5 linked regions of the Nothobranchius furzeri genome follow. The protein of the gene in region 2 purifies or fractionates together with the protein of the main gene of each other region. This does not show direct contact. Links are inferred from orthologs where the notes say so. Each region holds a gene or a part of one and is shown on either strand. Other genes may lie near its edges. The genes, in order: polh, rad18, shprh, slf1 and slf2.

Evidence for each region.
Region 1: the proteins of rad18 (region 2) and polh purify together in Homo sapiens (affinity purification with western blotting; 7 studies listed by BioGRID, with this or other methods). This does not show direct contact. The link is inferred for Nothobranchius furzeri from reciprocal best matches to the Homo sapiens genes RAD18 and POLH.
Region 3: the proteins of rad18 (region 2) and shprh purify together in Homo sapiens (affinity purification with western blotting; 3 studies listed by BioGRID and IntAct, with this or other methods). This does not show direct contact. The link is inferred for Nothobranchius furzeri from reciprocal best matches to the Homo sapiens genes RAD18 and SHPRH.
Region 4: the proteins of rad18 (region 2) and slf1 purify together in Homo sapiens (affinity purification with mass spectrometry; 4 studies listed by BioGRID and IntAct, with this or other methods). This does not show direct contact. The link is inferred for Nothobranchius furzeri from reciprocal best matches to the Homo sapiens genes RAD18 and SLF1.
Region 5: the proteins of rad18 (region 2) and slf2 purify together in Homo sapiens (affinity purification with mass spectrometry; 3 studies listed by BioGRID and IntAct, with this or other methods). This does not show direct contact. The link is inferred for Nothobranchius furzeri from reciprocal best matches to the Homo sapiens genes RAD18 and SLF2.

Annotation. Positions count from the first base shown.
Region 1 is NC_091752.1:33,815,687-33,819,286, forward strand, and holds the end of polh (DNA polymerase eta), read left to right. Parts: coding exon 1-89; intron 90-200; coding exon 201-320; intron 321-559; coding exon 560-683; intron 684-847; coding exon 848-913; intron 914-1,027; coding exon 1,028-1,200; intron 1,201-1,287; coding exon 1,288-2,158; 3' UTR 2,159-2,433; downstream 2,434-3,600. UniProt on the Homo sapiens protein: DNA polymerase specifically involved in the DNA repair by translesion synthesis (TLS). Due to low processivity on both damaged and normal DNA, cooperates with the heterotetrameric (REV3L, REV7, POLD2 and POLD3) POLZ complex for complete bypass of DNA lesions.
Region 2 is NC_091743.1:47,198,321-47,203,261, forward strand, and holds the start of rad18 (E3 ubiquitin-protein ligase RAD18), read left to right. Parts: upstream 1-1,879; 5' UTR 1,880-1,986; coding exon 1,987-2,037; intron 2,038-2,867; coding exon 2,868-2,946; intron 2,947-4,941. UniProt on the Homo sapiens protein: E3 ubiquitin-protein ligase involved in postreplication repair of UV-damaged DNA. Postreplication repair functions in gap-filling of a daughter strand on replication of damaged DNA.
Region 3 is NC_091758.1:20,356,174-20,361,405, reverse strand, and holds the start of shprh (E3 ubiquitin-protein ligase SHPRH), read left to right. Parts: upstream 1-1,766; 5' UTR 1,767-1,904; intron 1,905-2,675; 5' UTR 2,676-2,684; coding exon 2,685-3,269; intron 3,270-3,478; coding exon 3,479-3,608; intron 3,609-3,679; coding exon 3,680-3,898; intron 3,899-4,013; coding exon 4,014-4,092; intron 4,093-4,607; coding exon 4,608-4,758; intron 4,759-4,861; coding exon 4,862-4,964; intron 4,965-5,040; coding exon 5,041-5,232. Other genes in the region: grm1b (metabotropic glutamate receptor 1b), read right to left, coding at 1-416. UniProt on the Homo sapiens protein: E3 ubiquitin-protein ligase involved in DNA repair.
Region 4 is NC_091757.1:41,832,712-41,837,182, forward strand, and holds part of slf1 (SMC5-SMC6 complex localization factor protein 1), read right to left. Parts: intron 4,400-4,471; coding exon 4,280-4,399; intron 4,201-4,279; coding exon 4,135-4,200; intron 3,635-4,134; coding exon 3,488-3,634; intron 3,187-3,487; coding exon 3,017-3,186; intron 2,933-3,016; coding exon 2,798-2,932; intron 243-2,797; coding exon 86-242; intron 1-85. UniProt on the Homo sapiens protein: Plays a role in the DNA damage response (DDR) pathway by regulating postreplication repair of UV-damaged DNA and genomic stability maintenance.
Region 5 is NC_091752.1:20,526,359-20,531,615, reverse strand, and holds the start of slf2 (SMC5-SMC6 complex localization factor protein 2), read left to right. Parts: upstream 1-2,148; 5' UTR 2,149-2,269; coding exon 2,270-2,304; intron 2,305-3,010; coding exon 3,011-3,042; intron 3,043-5,257. UniProt on the Homo sapiens protein: Plays a role in the DNA damage response (DDR) pathway by regulating postreplication repair of UV-damaged DNA and genomic stability maintenance.

The sequences.
Region 1 (3,600 bases), on a different chromosome or scaffold from region 2:
GCCTGTGGGCTGAACAAACCTAACAGACAAACCATTCTACCTTTGGACTCTGTGGGGGAACTTTTCAGCTCTTTGCCTGTCAGTAAAATGTGAGTTTAAAGTCTCACAAGAATTTAATCATCACAAAAACGCCGATCTTCTGATGTAGCAGTGGAAAAATACAAGTCTGTACTCGTGTACTTTTAATTTCTCCTGTGCAGTCGAAACCTGGGGGGTAAGCTGGGCGTGTCGATTACAGAAACCCTGGGAGTGGAGAACATGGGAGATCTCACTCGGTTCTCTCAGGCTGAACTGGGGCAGCACTTTGGAGAAAAAACGGGGTGAGAAAATGCAGTTTCACAGGATTACTGGCGAATAAAAGGTCTACTTGTAGGACAGTTCGAGACTAGATTTAGAGATTTGGGACTTTGGGGTGTGAAAATAAAACATAATTCAAATAACCATTTTAAGTTTTCTGACAGTCTGGTTGACATTTTTCACACAGAATTGTATTTATTTGAAATGGACCTTAACTGCTGACATGTTTTTTAAATTCTCTATGACCAACATAACGCTGCAGCCAGTGGCTGTTTGACCTGTGTCGGGGGATCGAGTTTGAACCTGTGAAACCCAGACAGCTTCCCAAGTCCATTGGCTGCAGTAAAAACTTTCCCGGGAGGACGTCACTGGCTACTAAGGATCAGGTACAGGACTGTCAAAAGTATTTCAACATAATCTGTTACTCTCTGAAAGGTTTATGCCTCTGACGTGGGGGGAAAAGACACCAGAACTATGAGAAATGTCATTATTTAGTTCCATTTATTATTTGCAAAGATTGTCCTGATGCTGAAATCAAACCTCCGTGTAGGTGCAGTACTGGCTTCATCAGCTGGCCCTGGAGTTGGAGGAGAGGCTGGCCAAAGACAAAGAAGTGGTGAGAATTATTTAAATGTAATCGCTTTTTTTCATTACAGCTTGGCTCGTTGTGTCCTCGTATTCCTGTAGCACGCCACTAGTCTCACACCCGTGTTTTCTGGCTGCACTACAGAATAATCGTGTGGCAAAGCAGCTGACGGTTGGCGTGCGTCAGCTTGGCGATAAGCGGCCGACCGGCTTCTCTCGATGCTGTGCTTTAGCACGCTACGAGGCGACCAAAATATCAAGTGACAGCTTTGCTCTGATCAAGAGTCTCAACAAAGCAGGAAACCACCAGGCTGCGTGGTAATTAAAGAGCGATGACGTAAAAGGCTGATGTATGTTTTGAGGGAATGCTGCATGATTTAGATCATGTGTCTGACATGTTTCCAGGTCTCCCCCCCTCACCCTGCTACACATCTCTGCTAGTAAATTCAGTGATGCTCCGTCTGCTGGGGGGATTGCTGGATTTCTGTCCAGTGAAGGAACTTCAACCCAGACTCTGTTCTCCTCCACCCAGCCATCCTGTGACGTAAAAACAGAGCCTCCATGTAGTCAGCATGGTACCATTCAGTCCTTCTTTCAAAAAGCAGCTGGAAAACAAAAGCAAGTTAAAAGCGACACAGAAGAGGAAGTTCTCCCGCCTTTTGTTGGCGATCAATCTGACACCGATTGCCAGCTGGAGATGGCAAGTGACTCACAAAAATCTCCTTTCAAAAGTGTCTCCCACTCTAAAACTGACTCTTCTAGCTCCCATCCTGGCATCTCCTCTTTCTTTCATAGGAAGAGTCTTGAAAAAAGCTCTAACGTGTCTTCAGGTCACAATGATGCATGTGCCGGTAGAGGCACTGATGCTTTTGCATCTGGCCAGCAGTTAAAAATGATCCCAGAGTTAATACCAACACAGTCACAGGAAGAAGAGGTAAGGGAGGAACCGGAAAGCCATCTGGACAGTACTTCTAGTGCGCTAGGAGGAGACCTTTTAAAGTGTGAACGTTGTGGTGTAGAGGTTCTGGTGTGGGAAATGCCTGAGCATCGTGACTATCACTTCGCCCTGGACCTCCAGAATTCACTGTCTTCATCTACAAATTCAGGAAGCTTGCCTCCAAATCTAACCGTCTCATCTTCCTCCAGTGGTTCTCCATCTGCTCGGTCGTCCCGAGGCAAAACAAAAACCAGAGGTCAGTCAGGTCCTGCACCAAAGAGACAACGCTCACTAGGGGGCAGTGTGGGTACTCTAGATGCTTTCTTCAAAAAGAACTAAACATTTAGGGCATGAGTATTTATTTCTGAACATTGTGTATATATATATTTACACACACACACACACACACACACAAAGATGTTTTTATATTATCTTTACCAGAGGAAAGCCAGACAACCAGAATACAACAAGACTTGTTTTGAATCAGTTGTTTTTGTGCTTCATGAGGATATTAACATGTGTATTTTGGGTCCTATTTTTAATTTAAAAGGGCATTTCTAGTTGTTGAGCTTTATTTTGTAAACCTGTACAGATAAAAAATATTTTCAACTTCATGCAGAGAGTGTGTTGTAGTGTTCTGGCGTAACAGCAGATGGCAGTAGTGTGCAGACGAGTGTGGTTCAGGAGTCGGTGTGAATCTTGATTACAAATTCAAGACGCAGTTAGTCTTTGAGATAACTTGTAAAGTCAAATTAAATGAGTCATTCCTACACGGTCCTTGGACAATTAGTTGATCAGTTCTTCTAAATGTAAAAGGCAGCTGCCCAAACACCACCAATCCCCCCCTAAATCCTCCAAAAGCAGTAAGGGAATCAATCCTAAAGCTCCAATCTGGTGTCATCAATTCTGACATTAAGTCAAATTAAAAAGTACAAAACACCTTTGCAGAAAGAAAGTTTTAGTTTGATTTCAGTCTCTAGAAACACACCATGCAATGTATTGGAAAGACCACGTATGTTTCATCTCAGAGGAGATGGACCTGCGGTGTTTTTAGGGACAAAAATTTAAGTTTTAGATCATTAAGAGGAAACGACACAAAACTACAATTTACCAGCTTTAATGTTTATGCTACAAAAGATTTAAACTGTAGTTGTATTTAGTTTCTGTTTCTAGAAATCATCTCAAGACTTAACGTGTAATTCTGAAACCATTTAGGTTAATATTTAAATTTTTTGTAGTGTTGGTATGTTGTAAAACACAAACAAGCAGCTTTTGCTTCCTCTTGCATCAGCTGATGGGCCACTTGTAAACAAACCCCACCTTTTGTTGTGAGTCACGCTAAAGTCCCAAGTCTTGGTTTGTGATGGCACGGCTAAAAACCCCAAACCTTTACAGATGTACTTAAAAAGATCAACAACAGGTGCTCAGGAGCTAATAAAGAATTTATTTATGTACTCATGACACACAAATTGGATCTGTACATAAATATTGCATTTCACTCACAGAATTATCAAATATACTTTGAATTAAAAAGGGAACCAGGTTTGGAACCTAAATACTAAAGAATTAAGATATTAAAGGGTTGACGATTATAAAAACTGTGAACTGTAAAATCGACTAGAAATCTATCAAATACAACCACGGTGCATTGAACCAAACACCTGAACTCTACAAATGATACAAAATCATTTGGTTGATGTTTATTCTTTAAGTTTCCTGTGCATCAAAACACGGGTACCACAACATTGGACATCAGGTCCACCATGCATACAGGACCGACG
Region 2 (4,941 bases):
ATTTACGCCCGTGTAGAAAACGCCAAGGTCGTCTGATCCTCAGACTGTTTACATTCCAGAAGAAGGAAGAAGAACGCTTTTACTTAATCAAAGTACTTTATTTGTGATTAAAAATTAAGCAAAACATATGTTGATCAATGATAATCAAGTGAATGATCTGTGAAATAAAGATGTCATGATTTATGTGTTTAATGAGTAAACAGGACGACATGCACAGACAGACTGACACTCATCCCCATGGCAACGCATGACACATTGCTCCAACCAATCAGAGCCTTCGGCTGCCGCAAGAGAATCTGGCTTGTTGACTTAAAGTGTCCAATCCGCTTTACTAAAACTTATCAACAATTCAGAGATATAAAACAAGGCAACGCCATTTTAAGCTCAGTTCCATTTTGACTTCAGTTCTATTCACCGTCATCCCAAAGAGAAGCACAGCCTGGCCAGATGTGTTTTCTTCTTTAAACTAAGAACTGTGAAGTTGGAGATTTTCGTCGTTTAACAACCAGACGACATCCTTTCAAAATAAGAGCACCTGCTGACGCTGCCGATTGTTACCTGGGTCGACCCTTCAGACGGGCTTTGAAACGCTGTGACCGCGGTTTCAACCAGCTCCAGCGCACATCCGAGGTCTTCAGACCTGGCATTTCCTGATCTACCTGGGAGGCCCCCACTGGGTACGTACACGGCAAAATAGCAGCTCATGTCATCACTTTATAAGCCTCGTGATATCTAGTCATAACAATCAAAGACTACCAGATTCAATGACGTCAGCCTAAGGAGTCTGAACCAACCACACACACGCACACACACACATTGAACATCACATTCATTTCCAAACAACACAGAGTTAGTCCTGATAGATTGTAGAATTTATAATAAAATTCTTAAACGATCCCAACTCTCTCTTTTCTTGTCTCAAGGTCAATACAGAGTGTTAAATGAACTCCCTGATGATAAAAACAACCTATTCTTCTGATTATAAAAACTAGATCTACTTACAGTATATTAAAATACAACTCTAGATCGTTACATCACTCTATTTCACTACAAAACTGAGCCAGTTGTTCTAGAATACACATTTTCTCTATTCACTGGTTTTCTGGTGGAACATAGAAATTCTTTCTTACCCTGCAACAAAACAAGTGTATTTAACTTTTTCTATTTGTCAGCCTATTATTAGAGTTGTACATTTTGCAAGAAACATTTATGCATCTTATTAAGGGGGAAACCTCCACATTTACTATGAAATATAGCATGCACGCCAGAGCTCACAACAATAAAACATTAAGAATATGTAGGGTTTTAACTGAAATTGCAATAATGAAAACATTTATTAAAAGAAAGACAACTTAATTGGGAATCTGATACACTATTAAAGAAAGTACTGTGAGGCAAACGTTAAAATAACTACAATAACAAAGACTTAGCCTATATTGTGACACGTCAAAGAAACTTTAGAACAGAATTCAATCAATAATCTAATTATTTTTAAATTATTTTACTCAAACCTTATATTCATGTCAGAATTGATGTGATCAATCGAAACACTGAAATATCAGCACTAAAAAACAGCTTTTTCTTTTGAAAATAACAGTTTCCACAAACTTCATTTGGTTTTGTGATGCATTACATGTACCTCAGAAATAAGATAATCCAAATTTATGTCCTTAGTTTCTGCTTTTCTTTCATCTATGCTGAAAATTCTGATTTCCCCAATAGAGAAACAAAAAGTAAAAAGAAGTGAGTGACAAACGAATTAGAAAAGACATATTTCATGGTTTCTAGTCCTAAATTCTGACTAAAATTGTGGGCAGTGTTCCGTAAGTCGTCCCAGCTCCGCGACTAGCAGTAAACGTCTCGGCGCGTCGGCGGAAGTTGTTAATTGACGTCAGTTTGCGGTTTGCATCCTTTCGAGCGGGATACTGACCCCTGAATCTGTGAGATAAACAACTTTGTTATACATCAGAAACGTGTCTCGCAGACATGGCCCATCAGACCGCAGAGGATTTCCCGCCTAGCTTAGCATGTCTGAAAGTAAGTAATCACTGTTTTATCGTAAAAACATTCGGGTTTTGTTTACATTCCCACGTAGCTCCGAAGCTAAGGGTTGCGCAACAGCCGGTGGCAACAGCTAATGTTTCAACTAGCACCCGCGCGAAACACGCCAAAAGTTGTAAATTTAAAGGTACTTATGTAGAAATTAATTTAGGTATTTGTGCTGTAACTGTCTGGCCTTATTTGTGTATTTATATTACGTTACCTAATGGCAACTAACTCGGCTGTGGTTTAGCAAACTCATAACTAGCGATGCTCTAACATAATTTAGTGGTTAGAAAAATTTATTACAGGTTTCTGCTTGTTGTGCTCTTTGTTTGTGAAGGGCTTTTATCTACAGTAACACATCACTACTAAATTGGTGACTGGTTTAACATTTGAGATTGTGAAAACGTTCCAATCGTTACATTTTATTGCGTCAATTTTATCTATAAAGCAGAATAATTGAGAAACGAATGTTACTTTATGAATAAAATACAAAACTCATGTACTTTTTGGTTCATCAAAAATAATTACCTGCTACTGGATGCATTAGTCAAATGATCTTTTATATCAGCACTTACAGATTTCTACAAAGAATAACCAAAACAATGCTTATCAAAAACAACATTCTGACTTTATATGGTGAGCTAGAAATTTAGCACGTGAAATCACTGCCACCAGCTGAGCATTTGCTGCCGTTTACACGAGCTTTGACACATTTTATGGTCAGATTCTCAAACACATTCCTCATTAGTACTTGTGGTAGACGAGACCAGACACTGTTGTGCTGCAGAATGTCTTGACACTTTTTCTTTTTTCATCCACAGAGCATTGATACTTTGCTTCGGTGTCCCATTTGCTTCGACTTCCTCAACATTACAATGATGACTAAGTGCTCACACAATTGTAAGTATCAAGCTGAGACGTTTTTAGAATAAATACACGCTCATTAGAGATCTGGGAAAGCGGTGTCATCGTGTGTGAAATAAAGACCTCAGAGTGGCTGTTAGTCACGCAAAATAGAGTAAAATCTTTAAGAAAACTGCTGGAATTCTCTTTAAAAGCACAATGAAAGGCTCCGTCCAACTGTGTGTTTAAGTTTGTAGGCAGGTGGGCAACAAAGAAACACATTCTAACAGCTGCTGTAAGAAGCTGTTATGGAATTAGTGAAAGTTTAATTTATTCCATCTTTCAGGTCTTTTTAAATATTTCAATATAGAAATTGTATCTATTTAATTGTTGTATTATGAAATGCTTTATCTAATTTATTTATTCTTGTCATTTTTATCATTTTTTCGTATAGTTTCATAACAGCTGCTGTACTCCTCAAACCAATTTCTAGAGAAGTTGTTGTGGGTTTGCTGAAAGCGTCCCTCAATGTTTAAATCTGAACCCTTCAGTCTCTTTTAGTATAGCTCCAATGGGAGAAGATGCTCTTCATCAAAAGTCCACTTGCTATTGCCTCTGAGAGCCACCTTCTGTTTCCTCCAGAAGATACCAATCTTTGAAACGTTATTTTAGGACATAAATCTTGGTTCTCCTGCACAAACTCGTCTGTTAATTGTTTTCCCCGTCGAGGACAAAGTGGGCAATAAGTTTAAGAGGAAAGCTTTCTCTTGTTTCTGTAAGAGATTCACGTCACTTTGGTGTGTCAGGAAATCTGACTGCTCTTAACAGGTAATATAAAACCACGTGCTTATTTACCAAACATGCTTTTCCCTGCAATATTCATCAATGATACACGGGATGTTTTAACAAAACCTTAATGGATCCTAAATTAAGAAGTTTTTTTATATCGCACTTGTCCCTAAGTGTTCCTCAGACAAAAACAAGCATACAATGATCAACATAATTACAGTAACACATGATATAAAACAGCAGTACAATAAACTATCAGTTATTAGTAAAAGTGGTAGGAGACTAGTGGAGGGGATGGGTTATGAAAAAGACAGCCAAAATAAAAGCTATGGGGACTGAGGATGAGTTGTAAACAGTTTAGGGAGGGTGTAGGTGGCCAGAGGGGACAAAACCGAAATAGTAATAGCTGTTGTGCGGGTGCATGCGTGCACTGTGTGCAGCCCCACGTCTGAGTCTATGTAGGGGAAACACTGCCACCCACTCCAATTAGCAGAAATGTGGTAACCATAAATACAAATATCCATACGTCTTCTGCATTCTCCATATAAAACAATAAAAGACACTTAATATTCCACTCCTACCAGGAACCCAAAATGTGTGCAACCATGTGCGTTTCGTCTGGGCATGTGGGCGCTCCCTTCTCTATTGTGAATGTTGGGAAAAAATTGTATGAATTGCATTCAAAGGCCAGCTTACCAATTCCATGGTTTTAAAATGTAAAAATTTCCAGAAAGAATCCAAACAATTGCTCCGAGACAAAGCCTTGGGATGATAAAGGACGAGAGAGAAAAGAAAAGCTCCTTCTCATTCTGAGTGCAGGAAGATAAAAGATCTTTATCAGAATAAAATAAGTTTGTATTGTCAGAATATTTATATCACAGGAGCTTCAAGACCTAGTTCATTGTGAAACAGATATATATATACAGGTGTGCACATAAGTGGTCCGCAGGTGTGCATGCGCTGTCAAAATAAACAACGTGCACCTGAAAAAAGCTGCAGCACACATTTGCACACCTAAGATTTTGTGGAGGAAGAAAGAAGAAAGACATTTCTGGAGCATTTTAAAGATGTCCAAGAAGCAAGCTCCATTAAGTAATTATTTTGGTGTTCCTCCGCCTCCAAAAAACGCCAGACTGAGTCGGAAACGCAAAAGAAAAGAGTATTCACGGAGAAGTGGCTGCAGGAGGTCGGCTGGCTTCAAACAAACGATGAACGCACAGAGATGTGATGCAGATTATGCCGTGAAAATCCCACCCTGGCAGA
Region 3 (5,232 bases), on a different chromosome or scaffold from region 2:
GAGTCATCCCGGATGGAGATGAGAGAGTCTCGTATGAACTCGATGCTCTGCTCCAGAGCAACCGAGGAATGCCAGCAGGAGTCCCGGATCTCACAGCCGAGGGTGATGTTAGGTAAGAGGTTTGGGTCTGAGTTAATTCGATCCAGGGTGTGGAACATGGCCTCCACCCGCTGGATGCCATACTGCTCACGGACCTCTCCACATTTCCTCTCTGCCACCTTCTCAGCTGATGGCTGGTGGTGTACGGAAAACAGTGCACCAATTATAATGTCCCCATCCATTCTGGCCACCAGGCGAGAGGCAGAACTTGGGACGACTGACCTCTCATACTTCCCTTTGGACAAAACAAATGCCTCAAACAGTAAAACGGGCAAATACAAAATGCTCACTGCAGTCAGGCAGAACATGTTTGACATTATACCGAAGGTGATGAATAAAGATTCATGTCTCTTCAGCCAAATTAGAGACCCATCAGTCCTGTATGTATAGATCAGAAATGTCACCAATCTGCTTCTTCATGATTTCATCCTGTATGTGAGACAATAAGCAGTATTAGTTGAGATATTTTACAGTGTAGCTCTAAACAGACAACAGGCAGATTTTGAGGACTAAAGTTTTCTAAAACTGGGACATCTTTAGATTTCAGCACCACGGACAGCAGCTCCTACAAATGAGCAATGAACATATTTTGCCGTCTTTTTTCCTCAACTTTTACCAGGAAAGCATCACATAAGAGACACATGCACACTGCCAGAATGGCTTTTCATCATCAACTGTACACATTATTCATGCAATCCTGTGGTGATGCTTAACCAACAAAATCAGGCTAAAAATTCCAGCATTTTTAAGTGTATGCATGTATGACTTTACTCACCTGCACCACGCAGCTCAGAAAACAGTGGATCCGCTGTCTCGTGTGTTTCAGACAGACTGGACTCCAGCTCTTCCATCGAGAAAACACGGTGTCGTTCTCCCTCCCGCTCCCTAGCTGCACACCTCTTCTCTTCCTCACTGCATCCTAAAAGCGGGTCACACTCACTGCAGTGTCCCTGATTTCAGTCCTCAGTTTATAAATGCCGGTGAGACAATGACGCAGGAAAAGTGACATTTAAATAACGAAATGTTCAGGTGCACACTGAAAAAACACAAAAAATGAATGAAAATGAACGAAAAGAGATGGTGTAACCTGATACGCCTGCATAGCTGTGCTGAATGAATGTGAGGTGTGAAGGTGTTCACGCGCCAAAGGGACAACTTACTATAAAAGGAGTCGTCAAACTTCACGTGAATCATCCCCTCTGCGTCGTGGAGATGATGCAGTTCACTGCTGCAACAGAAAAAAAGGTTCACTCTCTACTGACATCATGTGGCCAGCATCCGGTACAACGACTGCATCTTCAAATGTAAAGCTACAAAAATTAAATACGATAACAATATATATATATATATATATATATATATATATATATATATATATATATATATATATATATATATATATATATATATATATATGGCCACAAAATAGCAGTTCCCAAAACTCACAATTATTAGCTGTAATTAGAGAAATTATAAAACTTTCATGAAGTTTGATTTGGCATTGCCACGTTTTCTTCAACAAACACTAAAGTGCAATTTGTTGTAAAATACTTATATTAATGCTTATTTTCCATAACAACAAAAAAGAAGAGGCGAGTTTCTAGGTTTTCACGAAATGTGTAGTTTTATTGTGTACAACATGTCTACACCCAGTTACGTCATTTCCTGTATGAAAAAATGGCGACCATCTACTTTGCTGTGGACACTTGAACTGTTTTGGTGCTTTCAGGATCCGATTTGCTTCATTATGAAACAGCTCCTGATTCCGTGATAACAACCGGATCGGTTCAAACGAGGCTCGAAAAGTAAACACGTTTTTAAAATGACTTATCTTGTTTAGAAAACGTTAAAATAACGTAGTACTGTTTATGCTGCACCAAGGCTCAATACTTGGTGCTAAAGACTGAACAGAACCACAGAAGTTTTGTTAAAGGGCAAGTAACACCTGTCCCAGAGTCTTACTCCACCCACGTTTCCAGTTATATTTATCTTTTTCCAGAAAAAGATAATTTAGAAAAATGAAAAGCAGGCTAGCTGCTTGCTAGCATATGTAAACATTAGCAGCGGTAGTTTTCCAAACGTTTGTCACGTTAACTTTATCATTTGATAGTGATGATATTAGCTAGTACTAACAGTAATTCTACCTTGTCTATTTGAGCTGATGCTTTCTTTTTCGTATCTACGGCCAGTCTGCTCATTCTCAGACATTTTCATCCACACAACAGCCACCCACTGGACATGTTCCCCCTTTTTGGACCAGTCTCTGTAAACTAGAGGTGGTTGTGGCTAAAAATTCTAAAATACACATCCTGTCTGGCCTCAATAATTATGACACATTCGAAGTCACCTAAATCTCATTTCTTGATTTGAACCCTTAATTAGCTGCCACGTGATTGGATGCTTTTAAAAACAGATACCTAATAAAGTTGATAGTGAGTGTGTGTTCTAAGTCACATTTGGGATATTTTAATGGGAATATTGTCCACTTGTTAAAATGCCAAAATAGCAGAATTTTGGAAGATTGTTATTATAAGTAATAATTACTTGAAGCTTTTTTTCTATTGTTCTCGTTTTAGTTCGTCACCATGAGCAGCCGAAGAAAGAGGGCCCCACCCGCGAGGGTGGATGAAGATGCCAAGAGACAGTTGGAGTGGAACATGTTTGAGGATCGCAAGAATGAGGAGATCCAGGAAGAGGACCAGACGCCATCCTGTTCCATTCTTTCAGTTGACACCACCCCGGGCAGCTCTTTTCTCTCAGTTGTTGAAGACGTGACGGAGGCTCCCTGTTCCCGATCTGTTCGGTTTTCAGAAGAGTTTCCCAGCACCGCCTCAGACAGCACCTCTGCCTTGCCCTCGCTGGCACTGTCCGTGCTGCCAGCTTTGAAGCTGGCTCACATCTGGAAAGCCCTCATTGGGGAGTTCATCATTCGACCGGTTTGGCTATCATCTGACTATGAGTGGAAGGTTTTTACAGTTCACAGGAAAGGTGAGCAGCTCTACCTCAGTTACAGCAGCTGTGATGAGAGCTCAGATCTGCAGTGGAGGCCGGACGACGACAGCTGTACAGCCGAGTGTAACCTCAGTCGGATTCTGCTGGAAGAACTCGACTGGCTGCAGAAGAGGAGGGTGGTGCAGCTCTGCCATCAGACCAAAGATCAGGAAGTCAAGGTGTGTCTTACTTTGATAGAACGTTACTTTATTTGTGATACAACGTAATTAGCATTTTACCACGTTAAAGCATTGACGTTTCAAAATGGACAAATTTGTGCCCTGGATCCCTTTTTTAAACTCATCTTTTATTCAAAACAAGGCAATATTTAAAGGTCTGCTTAATATTTTATTCTTAATGAACACATTATCATCGCTGTGCTTGGCAGGTGGGAATTTACCTGCTGGAAACTGGACTCGGAAAGCCGGATTTCCTCAGTGAGGGGAATGCTCGTCTGAAGAAAGCAAATCAGCTGATGCAGAAATTAATGGAATATTTCTACGATTTCATCATTCCTGGTGGGTCTGTGGGCCTACTGGGTAATATTATGATCCATTGCAGCGAGATAAAAACAACACTTTCTTTGTAGAAGTTGTAGAGAATGAAGAGGAAGAGAGCGACACCGACCTGGAGAGACAGAATGTGGAGGAACTTTATGATCACGTGAGACTCGTGCACCAGAAGGAGAACCAGGGTGCGACCTATGATGTCCAGCACAAGGCTCTCATTCCATTTCTCAGACGGTATCAGAGCCAGGCGGTCAACTGGATGCTGAGGAGAGAGAAATACAGGAACACGGCTCCTAAAGGTATTCCCTCCAGGCCTTTGAAGATGGAGAACTTTATGTGTGTTTTTGAGAATACAGAGATCATTTAAGCAAAGCTTCATATTGTACAACTCTGTCTTTACTTTTTGTTTTATAGAACAGTTTTTGCATTTCCTCTGGCGAGAGTTAATTACTCTGTGTGGCAAGAAGCTGTTTTACAATCCTTTCACTGGCTGGTAAGAGAAAAAGCAATGTTTTGTGTTAAATAATCACTTCATATAGACACTTTTACAAACATCCTAGAATAACGAAACTTAATAAAATCTGTCCAGGGGCCATTTAAATCCACCGTAGTCATGGTCCGTAGTAAAAACAGTCCAGGGTACATTATTGATTGCTGTTTGATTTTAACTTTTCAATTGACAATCGATTTGGAACAAAACAGAAAATCTACTACAGATGTGTTTATTATTATGTAACATGAACAAACTGTTACCAAGCGGTGGAAACCTTTCATGTTTCCATCTTTTTCTCCTAAAATCACAATTCTGTAGTAAGAGATCTAACATTCACCTAAATATAAGTCTGTTCTGTTTTTCCACAAAACAAACGGTCCTAAAGTTACAAACATTAATGATTAAAATAACCAGATAAGTTAGTTACTGGACATTACGATGGGTTACGTCTTTGTTGGGTCTCTACCGCTCACTCCCCTTGCACCATTAACTGTTCGGTTTTCTTTCTGGTCCAGTTTAATTCGAGAGTTTCCTCTGGCTGGTGTCGACTGGCCTGGGGGGATTCTGGCTGACGAGATGGGGCTCGGTAAGACTGTGGAGGTTTTGGCGCTCATCTTGTTTCACACTCGTCAGGACCTGCAGCAGGATGCCTTCACGCTGCCTGTGGTGAGGAGTGTTTGATTTATTTTCTTGGATTTTCTTCTATTTAAAAAAAAATTAAATGTAAAATGCAATTCTGTTGTTTTCTTCTAATCTTTTGCTTCTTCAGGGAAAATCTGTGAATTATTTTGTTCCTCCTCGCCCGCTGGAAAGAGAGAATGCCATACGCTGCAAGTCTGAAGCTCAGCCGAAGATGAAAATATCCCACCCAAGTATGTCTCCTTGAAGTCCTCTCAGACAGGCGATCAGTAAAGTAGTTTCACTTTTTACATGTGAGTCTCCCTGCAGCTGTGCGCGTCATGCTACTTAATGCAATAAAGGAGATGCGATCTGGCAAAGGCGCCTCAGTCAACGCCGTATTCACCTATATCCGAGCTACTTATGGCTTCGACCTTCTGAAGAACCGCAATCACATCAAGAAGACGCTGGCGAAGCTCATAGATGAGGGCGTGGTTCAGAGGGTCAAAGGTCGAGGCTTGG
Region 4 (4,471 bases), on a different chromosome or scaffold from region 2:
GACGAAGACAAGCAAATTCACAGAAATGAACTAAAAACAGCCATAACACTTAAAAAAATACATAGCCGGTAAATAAAGCGCCTACCATGTTAGCAGCCTGCACTATGAGCTGAGTGAGCTGCTTCACAGATCGAGACAACAATGTGGAGCGTTCCCACACAGTCCAGAAGGTTCCATACAGCAACGAACCAGAAGAAAATGTGGAGGGGGCTTGTGTCGCCTGGTGCCGCACAAAGTCTCTGCTGGAGGGAAAGGTTATCATGTTTCTGATTCTTACTCTGCAGGAAAATCCATTCTTGTAAGTGAACATAAGAATATGTAGGGATGCACGATATATCTGTATCAACATCTGTATCAGTCTGATGGGCACAACTGGAATGCTCAAATGGTCTTGTTCACTGAGAAACAGTGTAGTATTGCCTCAGTTTGAATTAAAATCAGTCACTCTGAGTTTCACATAAATCCATCCATCCATCCAACCATTTTTAGCCGCTTATCCCGAGTCGGGTTGCAGGGACAGCAGCCTAAGCCGAGAAGCCCGCTTCCCTCTCCCCAGCTACTTGGGCCAGCTCCTCCAGGGGAATTCAATGTATTCCCTGGCCAGCCGTGATATAGTCCCTTCAGCGTGTCCTGGGTGCTCCCTTGGGTCTCCTCCCAGTCAGATGTGCCCAGAAAACCTCACCAGGGAGGCGTCCAGGAGGCATCCTGACCAGATGGCCGAGCCACCTCAACTGGCTCCTTTTGATGTGGAGAAGCAGCGGGTCTACTCCGAGCCCCTCCGAGATGACCAAGCTTCTCTCCCGTTCTCTAAGGGAGAGCCCAGCGATCCTACGAAGAAAACTCATTTTGGCTGCTTCTCTCTGCGATCTTGTTCTCAGCCTGCCGGCTCAGCGCGCTCTTCACTACGACAGACCTGCGTTTGTGCCACCACACTTGGTAGTAATATAACCACAACGCCAGACTTGCGAATGCATATTACGCCTTGGCACAACAGGGGTAGGTGTCATGATCACGTGGGGAGTTACTGCCAAGCTTCAACCGGCAACTCTATTTAAAATGAAAGTAAAACAGGCAATAAGTTTCAGTTTTGTTTCCAGAACCAGCTGAGATGATAAAGTGGAGCGATGCAGAGCTCCAGGAGCTTCTCTCCATTAGCGCTGGAGGTCAGATCACCAGAGACTGAGTGACAGCCACCTCTAGGAGCGGCTTAGGGCTGCACACTGTATCGCAAATATATTATCGCGATATCAGCATGCGCAATATGCATATCGCAAAGAACAGCTAAATATTGCAATGAATGGTCAACTAAAATGTTTGCTACGCATAATTCATTCTGTCAGTCAAACAAAAGCATGACATTTTTTTGAACAAATCAAATATAGCTCTTCAGCCATTTGGCCAATTGGGTGGGTTCTCATAGGTTAGATGCCCACCCCCCGAGGTGGAAGGAACTTAATTTGGATGGTTAGCCAACACCTGAGTTAGCTTTGTTCTGCTCTTTCTGCTGATTCTGCTTTTCCACTGATCCACTGATTACCTTTTCTTGTTAATTTTCTTTTTCCCTTTCCTCACATCTTTTGCTTCTCTCATTTTTATGATTTTTTGTCATGATTTAATTTCTTTGTTTTTGATTATTTTTGCCCAAGTTAAGTTTTTATTTATCGCAAGTAATATCGCCATCGCAATATTAATCACTGTTATGGCATATTGCAGGTTTTCCTAATATCGTGCAGCCCTAGAGCGGCTTGTCAGAAAAATGTAAGGAGCATGGCTTGGATCGCAATAAAAAGCAAGTTATGTCCAAGTTAAACGGAAGTCAGCGGCAGTGCTGAGACTACCCCCATACCCCCTTTATACCGTAATCTTTTGTAAAAAAGGACACAATTACTGCCACGGTCTGAACAATTCTAAACAACATAAGGCTCCCTGATGCCAGCTCGGTGTTGGGGCAAATTGGCGGCATTGTTTTCTTAGATGCTTTTGACACCTCCTCCTCCTCCAACAAACTTCTACCTCATGAAAAAAGAGCACCAGAGCTTTTTTTTTCCTCATAGAAAATGACTCACAAAGCATTAGTCCATACTAGAGACCACAGCAGATGCAGTGAAAAAAAACTAGTGAATGAGACACTTAACGACTGATGTTCATTTCCATCTTGTTGCAGTTTGCATCTGTTTCAGGAGGGCTAGGGGGTTGGTTAAAGAGCAAGTCACTCCAAATCAACATTTTTTTGCTGATAAACTATATAAATGAGTGTCTGATCGTGCTGCAGACACGTGTAGTCAATAATTCGGCACTTTAGTGCATCTTAGTTAAAATTTAAATATTCTGCCTAAAACTGTCAGTGTTGCACCGTCATCAGGTAAAAACTCTGCACTGCATTTGAATTTAAATCTGCCGTCGCTATTGGCTAAGAGGTATACTATGATGTTAGATGGTGCATTATGATGTCACAGTGTTGTGAGTGTGTGTATTTGTTAGCGGCTCCACCCTCTCGGTCTGCTAGGCAAAAGCATTTGTTGCATTTTTCAAACAGGATGTGGGAGTTGAGTAAGAATCTGGTAGGGGGTGACTTGCTCTTTAAGTGTTATTTGTTCAAGCATGTGATAGTGACACAGCTCAGGATTTTGGGAGTGCTTAGGGAAGCAACGTTGGTGGTGTGATCGCTGTTACACAAAGTGTTGTCCTCATAACAGCAGTATAAATAACAGATATGGATCAAAATGATCACATTGATGAATCCCAAAAGTTAATGCTTTAAGAAAAAGATACTGACAGAGTATATTTAAATGTTTACCCGCTGGTGACAGAGTGAAGCTCCCCCTGGAAGAGCTTGAGGCAAAAAGAAAGGATGTCATAATGAAAATCAACCAGAGTCGGTAAGGTTGGTCCGGCCAGCGGGTGGCAGGTGATGTTGCTGGATAGACAGTACCTACAAAGAAAACCATTTTGCTGATCAAGTTTCAAAATGCTTAAACTGCTGATTAAGAGAAACCTTCAGGATATGTCAGATTACCTGATGGCCGTCTCCAGAAAAGGCCACAAGCCTGTCTTACACTGAGGACACTGCAGCACTTGAGCGTAGTATTTCTTCACCGAGTTGGGCGCCAGCCATGGCGGGTTGGTGAGGAGCAGGTTTTCCAAAACTTGGTGGAAGTTCCTCAGGAAGACGGATGTGGCGTTACCCTATACAATGTAAACACAGCAAGAGTTTCAGTTGATTGAAACGATTAGAGCGACTGCAACAATTTCCTGTGCGTGGAGAATTGTTAAAAAGCTTGCTTGAATCCAGCTTCTTTCTATTAAACATGTGCTTCTTTGACTGAAGCAGTGGATGTGTGCATGTGGAGCAAAATGACAGTTACTCTACAAGTCCTAGCTACAAATATTCAAAAATGTTGTGAAACCAGTGATCCACTTGCACCCCCCCGGGCTCATGCAGCAGCAGCAGGTGGGAATTTATACAGCCTGGTAATTCTAGTCTTACCTGCTGTGCGTATTGTAAGAGCGAGATCAGGTACGTCGCTGGTGGCAACAGACCAGGGAACGCCGAGCTTCTGATAGAGTCTAAGGCTTCAACGAAGAGGCCACACTCTATCATGGTACCGACGTTGCTGAAGTCTGCTAGTATCGCCTGGAGGAATAACAGAACAATGGTGAAATTAAGGGGGAGAGGAGGATATGGAAAGGAGGAAGAAACGTGGCACTCAACCAGACAGATGGTAGTAGGAAAAGGGAGCAGAAGGGTAATGGAAATAAGTAGCGAATGGGCATCAAAAGTTCCTGGGGGTCATTTCTGACCGTCGCTTATTGGCAAATAGCATACGGAGCGAGAAAGTCCTGAATGGAAATACAAGAGCACTTCTAATATCAATCTGACAGACGTCCACTTGGGTAAAGTACGGACAGGACGGTGGAGAGTATTGTTAATAGGTCTGCCAATCAAAGCTCTCAGAGGTGGTAAAATCGGTGACCTGGTTTTGATGCGCCCTTGCTCTTGGTGTCACTTTCCATTGAAATGTATGACATAAAGAAAATTGAATGACCTGATCTGCTTGATGAAACACAGAGTTATCTTGTAGATGTATGTATAGCGGTGATCGTGGATGGGGGTGGATACGTGCGTGAGTCTACCTGTGAGTGAGGATGATGAGGGTCGTGGTAACCTAGAAACTGAAGGAAGCGCAGTCTCGGCTGGCCCTAGGAGAGAAAATACACGTCAGCGATGTCGGGAACGAAACCAACAAACAAGAATCTTTAAGAAGGCAAAGAAACACACCTCCTTCTCAATAACAACACTCTTGAGCTCTGCCTCCAAATTAGAATAATCCTCGTCAAGATAACTGTCTTTCTCAGCCAGGTGATCTTGGATGTTTAATTTCATGTCCACACAGTTGCTCTGCCCAAATGAGAAAGGCAGATAGTTTTTCAGCATTATAACACCTTCCTCTTAGGTCGAGGTCCTCGCTAC
Region 5 (5,257 bases), on a different chromosome or scaffold from region 2:
GTGTACGGTTTCCTCATTGCTGATTGCGCTGTACAGTTCCCTGAGCGCTCGGTCAGTGTCGGCTTGTGGGGGAATGAAAACAGCCGTAATAATAACCGCTGTGAATTCTCTCGGTAGCCAGAATGGCCGGCACTTAATCATCAGGTACTCCAGGTCCGGAGAGCAGAAGGATTTGACCGGGTGCACGTTTGCATAATCACACCAGCTGTTGTTGATCATGAAACACACACCGCCACCTCTGCTTTTCCCAGTAAGCTCCTGTGACCTATCCGCGCAGTGCACGGAGAACCCCGGTAGTTGTACTGCGGTGTCCGGTACTTTGTCCGATAGCCAGGTTTCTATGAGGCAGATCGCACAGCAGTCCCGCATCTCTCGCTGGAATGAGATCCGAGCCCGAAGCTCGCACAGCTTGTTTTCCAGGGACTGCACATTAGCCAGTAGTAAACTGGGTAATGGTGGTCTGTTAGTGCGCCGTCTCAGTCGAACCAGAACGCCAGATCTTCTCCCTCTGCGTCGGCGCTTGCGGCCTCCACAGGCCCATAACAAAGGCGTCTCAGGTGAGATGAATGTGGGATCTGCAAACGGCGGGTCCGTGATGAAAACCCTGGACTCCGGAAAGTAATGAGAAAATCCGTCTTTTATGTCCAGTAAGGTTTGTCGGTCGTACACAAGGATACATGTGCTACTCGTGAAAAAATAAAGAAAAAGAAAAAGTAGTAAACACAAAAAACAGCTGTTGCTTGGTGGAGCTCGCGACGAGGCAGCCATACTCGGCGCCATCTTGTCGGAATGTGTCACCCACAGGCCTGAGCAGTAGGGCACCGTCCCAACCCACCGCTCTTGTTTTCCCCAAGTGCCATTTTGGGGAGAACATGCGCTCATTTTACCCTGCCTGGTATCGTGAGAGACCTTGGCTGGAATACTCAGTAAAGCTGAATGCGTGCTTTTGTTTCCCATGTCGTAAGTTTGGGGGGAAGAACAATGATAGGGGTTTGGTTTTCACAAAACAAGGATTTAATAATTGGAAAACAGCACTGGAAAATTACAAGGGATTCACAAAGCATGCTTCAAGGTATAAGCCATTTTGGGATTCATGGATTATATCACTAATTCCATATTTTAGTCGTCTGACTATTACTGATGCTAGAATTTTGTAATCGTTGTTAAATAAAGTAATGCCACGCCAATTGGCCTCACTTGTGGGGGCTTGAGCTAGATGCTTGAATTTTGTCTTCAAGTACCATAATGCAATTCGTGAGTGACGCGCATGCAGGCGGGAGACGTCATTTGGAATTCTACGATGTCCAAGGAAGATCCCGCCTTTCTCGTCTCTGATTGGCTAGAAATGCCCTACTACGATTGGTTATTTCATTTAGCAGCAAACTGGCTGTCCTCGCTAAGTGCTGACTGTGACCTGCCTCCAGCAGAAAGCTGTTTTGTGGAGTTTAGTAAATAAAATGTGAACTTAGCGCTAGAATAAATATTCTGTCCTGGTTTGCAAAATATTTAATGTTTTATGTTGCATTAAAAAACTGAAATACGTAAAATGTGAATTTTAAACCTTGTTGCATTTATCTAACTGTTGGACTCTTGGCTCTGAAGCATATGTGCCTTACCTGGGTATGAAATTTAATAAATCTGCCCTATTCTGCCCAGCTGTGTGCATCAGGTCTGTTCTTTCTCTAGAATAATGAAAATTGGTGAAAAATAGGTCTAAATCATAATCAGCTTTAGCTTCATTTTTGATTAAATGATATACAGTACATTTAATCTGATGATGAGAGATGTGCTCTAACTTGTAAACAGCCTTAACCTATTAAAGCAGAATAGCCTAATAATGAAGTACTAAGATAACCCCAATAGAGCCAACAGATATAAAGTCAGTCTACAGTGTGATAAAATGCTACAAGAATTATTACAAGTTCACATTTGATGTTGTTCAGGCTCTTTTATGAAAGAAACTGAACCTGGTTTGTTGCTAAACAGGAAAGGATGTTTATTATAGCGATGAGTTCACATTTTCTTCAAATAACTCCTCGAGATCTGGCTGTAAACACAAAAACCTGCAGAGAGGGGAAACTGTTTACACGAAATAGCCAATCGTAGTAGAGCCCTTCCAGCCAATCAGAGGCGAGAAAGGTGGGACCTTCCTTGGACATCCTAGAATTCTAAATGAGGCAGGCGGGAGACGGATTTGCATCAGCAACGGCGAGATTTTCGGCTTTGTTATTTCAAATGCAGTTCGTGAACAAAGGTCACTATTCAGAACATGAAAAAAACAACGGAAAATCACGACTTTGCGAGGTAAGATAACAAAGACCACGTTGCCAGCCACCTAGCTAAAGAACTTCCTGAAACAGACTTGCTCCTACCTAGCAATCGTTTGTTTTTAATGTATTTGTCCTGCCGTTGAGACATATGTGTATTTTAAAGTTTGTGTCAAGGAGTCTTGCAATTAATGTTTTAAGACAAATGTTGTGGTGCAATTGTGTGTTTTATTGCTAAATATTACCATCGTGCACTCAATCGTTTCTCATCTTTTCCTGCTTGCTAACGTTAGCTAGCTAATCAATTCCATCCAACCGCTAGCAAAACATGGCTTTCGATTTTTCTGCAGTTTTGTGTCTTATTTTCGTCAAAGTAACAACACCATGTGTCAGTGTAAACACATTAAACTCTTAAAATGTCAGCTGCTGTTATCAGCTCGCGTATCATTCCGTGATTTATAGTTTTTTTTTAACAAAATGCCGAGTTGTTTCACATTTGTTAGCTGAAGCTAACAAGTCAGGTCAAGTATTCTTTATTCCAGACTTGGTCAAATTCACAGAAGTAGAAAAAAACACCTAGTATAGATAAGATTAAATGAAATAAGTACATATGACGCTAAAGCACAAGAGACAAAATAATCATGAAAATAAAAACAAGAGACAATAATAGCAGTAGTACTAACATATGATGTGTTAGTCGAGTTTTTCTTCGTAATGAAACTGATTCTGTGATTTTCCTGCAGAACTCTTGCAGAGAAGCATTCTTCGAGGAAGGGTGAGTCGAAACATCGTCGAGTCACGCCATTACTGTGTTCTGTTAGGCAAAACACATGTGACGCTGTTGCTGTCGGTTATTGTTCATAATTGTCAAAAACGTTATTACATACTCTGTTATTACATAATAAATAGGAGATCTTGAGGTTACTGGTGTCAAAAGCTTCTAACTCACTTTGTACAGTTTAACAAAACATTTCAGATTTTGTTTGTGTGGCATCAGGGATTGCAGTAGTTGCCAGTAGCACACATGGCCACCTGGGGAGTTACACCCCAGGAAATAAAGACACACAGGTCCACTCTACAGATCAGGCAGGAGACGTGGTCTGACCAATAACATGCTTTTTATTAAAATATAAAAGAGACTAAATTAACCTGAATAGGCTGAAGCTTACCAGGGTCTAATTCAGCCTACCAAAAAAATACACACCCAGTGCCATGCATCCAGGAGGTGCACGGTGAAGGAACACACACACACGTGGAAAACTCCCGCCACCAAGGCCAATGGTACCCCACTGGGATCAAACAGCCTGCAAAAAAAGAAAGAAACTGTTAAAAACAAAACCAACAAGCAGTTGGCTAAACAAATTATAAAAAGATGGACAGCCTGCTAGCTCACCAGCCAGGAGTTGCAGGCTGTCTGAAATAAGTTAAAAAAAATTTCAATTATTTATTTAAAAGAGCAATCAGTCTTGCTCAGATGTGTGCCAGACGTGCACCACGCACAAAGAGCTAAACAGCTCGAAAGTTCTTACTGCTGGAGACACCGGAGAGGTGGTCCTCCTTGGACCTGAGTGGAGTCCCACTACAGTCTAGTCTAGGAGGTGATGTCGTTGGCCGCCGTGGATCCGATCTGGTATAGGTCAAGCGGGACCGGCCGCTGTCACATCCAAGCACCCGCACGCCAGGCGATGCCGGGAGCTCCTGTCCTCTACTTGTGGGAGCTGGGAACTAATCATAAAAATCCGGAGAAGCAAAACAGCAAAGTCTGCGGAGGTGCATACTCTAAAATGAGCCAAAAGCTAATTAAAATGAGCAGCTGAATGATGAAAAAAGCAGGGTACATACCTTAGACGTTGGTTTGCCCAACTGAGCCGGCGAAACACGGGTACGTCCCAGAGCTGACTGATCAGATACCAGCCACCACTAGAGCATTAATATGATTAACACAGACTCCCAAGTCGCTAACACCGAAGGGATAATTTTACTTATAGTTTGCGCTGAGTTCCAAGCACTGCCACATACTCGACCGGCTCGACATCCCGGTTGTAAACGCCAAGTTTAGTGAGAGGTGATCACCCAAGGGAACAAACCTGTCCTTATAACAGGGCGCCCTCAACAGGTGAATGGTTAAGCAGCATCCCCCAGCTGCAAACGATCACCCTGCTACATTTGGCTTTCAGTAACTTTGTGGGCATTTTGCATCTCAGTAACTGATATGTACTCAACCTTTTGGAGACATAGAATTTTTATACCATTTTATTCTTACTGCTCCAAACATTTTTTTTACAGAACACATTTAAAACAACAATGTTGATCAAAGTACTGAATGAATATAAAGTGAATGGCACTTTGCAAAATAAACCTAATTAAAAAAAAAGGGGAGAAATGTGTTACCAATAAAAATCAGCACTACCAACAGCACCACCCATTGTGACTTGGATGGGTTCTGTTCTGTTGGACAGCTGTTTCCAACAGCAGGGTTTCAGTATTTTCCCCAAACTTTTCAGTGCTTAGCACACAGAACCAGCCAATGTTAGCGCAAGTGCCCAAGGTCCCCCCACCCTATGCGCTATGACGAGCACACCCACTAGAGTTTTTTTTTTTTTTTTTTTGTCAGAGTTGGCAAGGAAAACCAACTACACTCGACCCATGTTAGACTGAGTAGCATTGTTGGAAAAGGGGCGTAAGTGTCCTTGCTGGAGATAATAACTTCAGCAAGTCTCCACTGTAATGGCGTGCCAACAGAGATTTAAAGCCGGGCGTACACTGTGCGACTTTTTCACTTTTTTGAGCCGATTTTCCAGTCGTGTGAGAATCCACGACATCGGGGCGAGTTTTGCGCCGAGCGGTCGTGTATTGTACAGGGGGTTACGAGGGGCGATTAACACCACATGACCAGCTGCCGATCAGCAGTCGTGAGGTCGCACGGACTTCTGGCGTGTTTAATATTTCGCTCGGCCCCCGTGAGGGTATCGCACTGTTGAAGCGGCGCT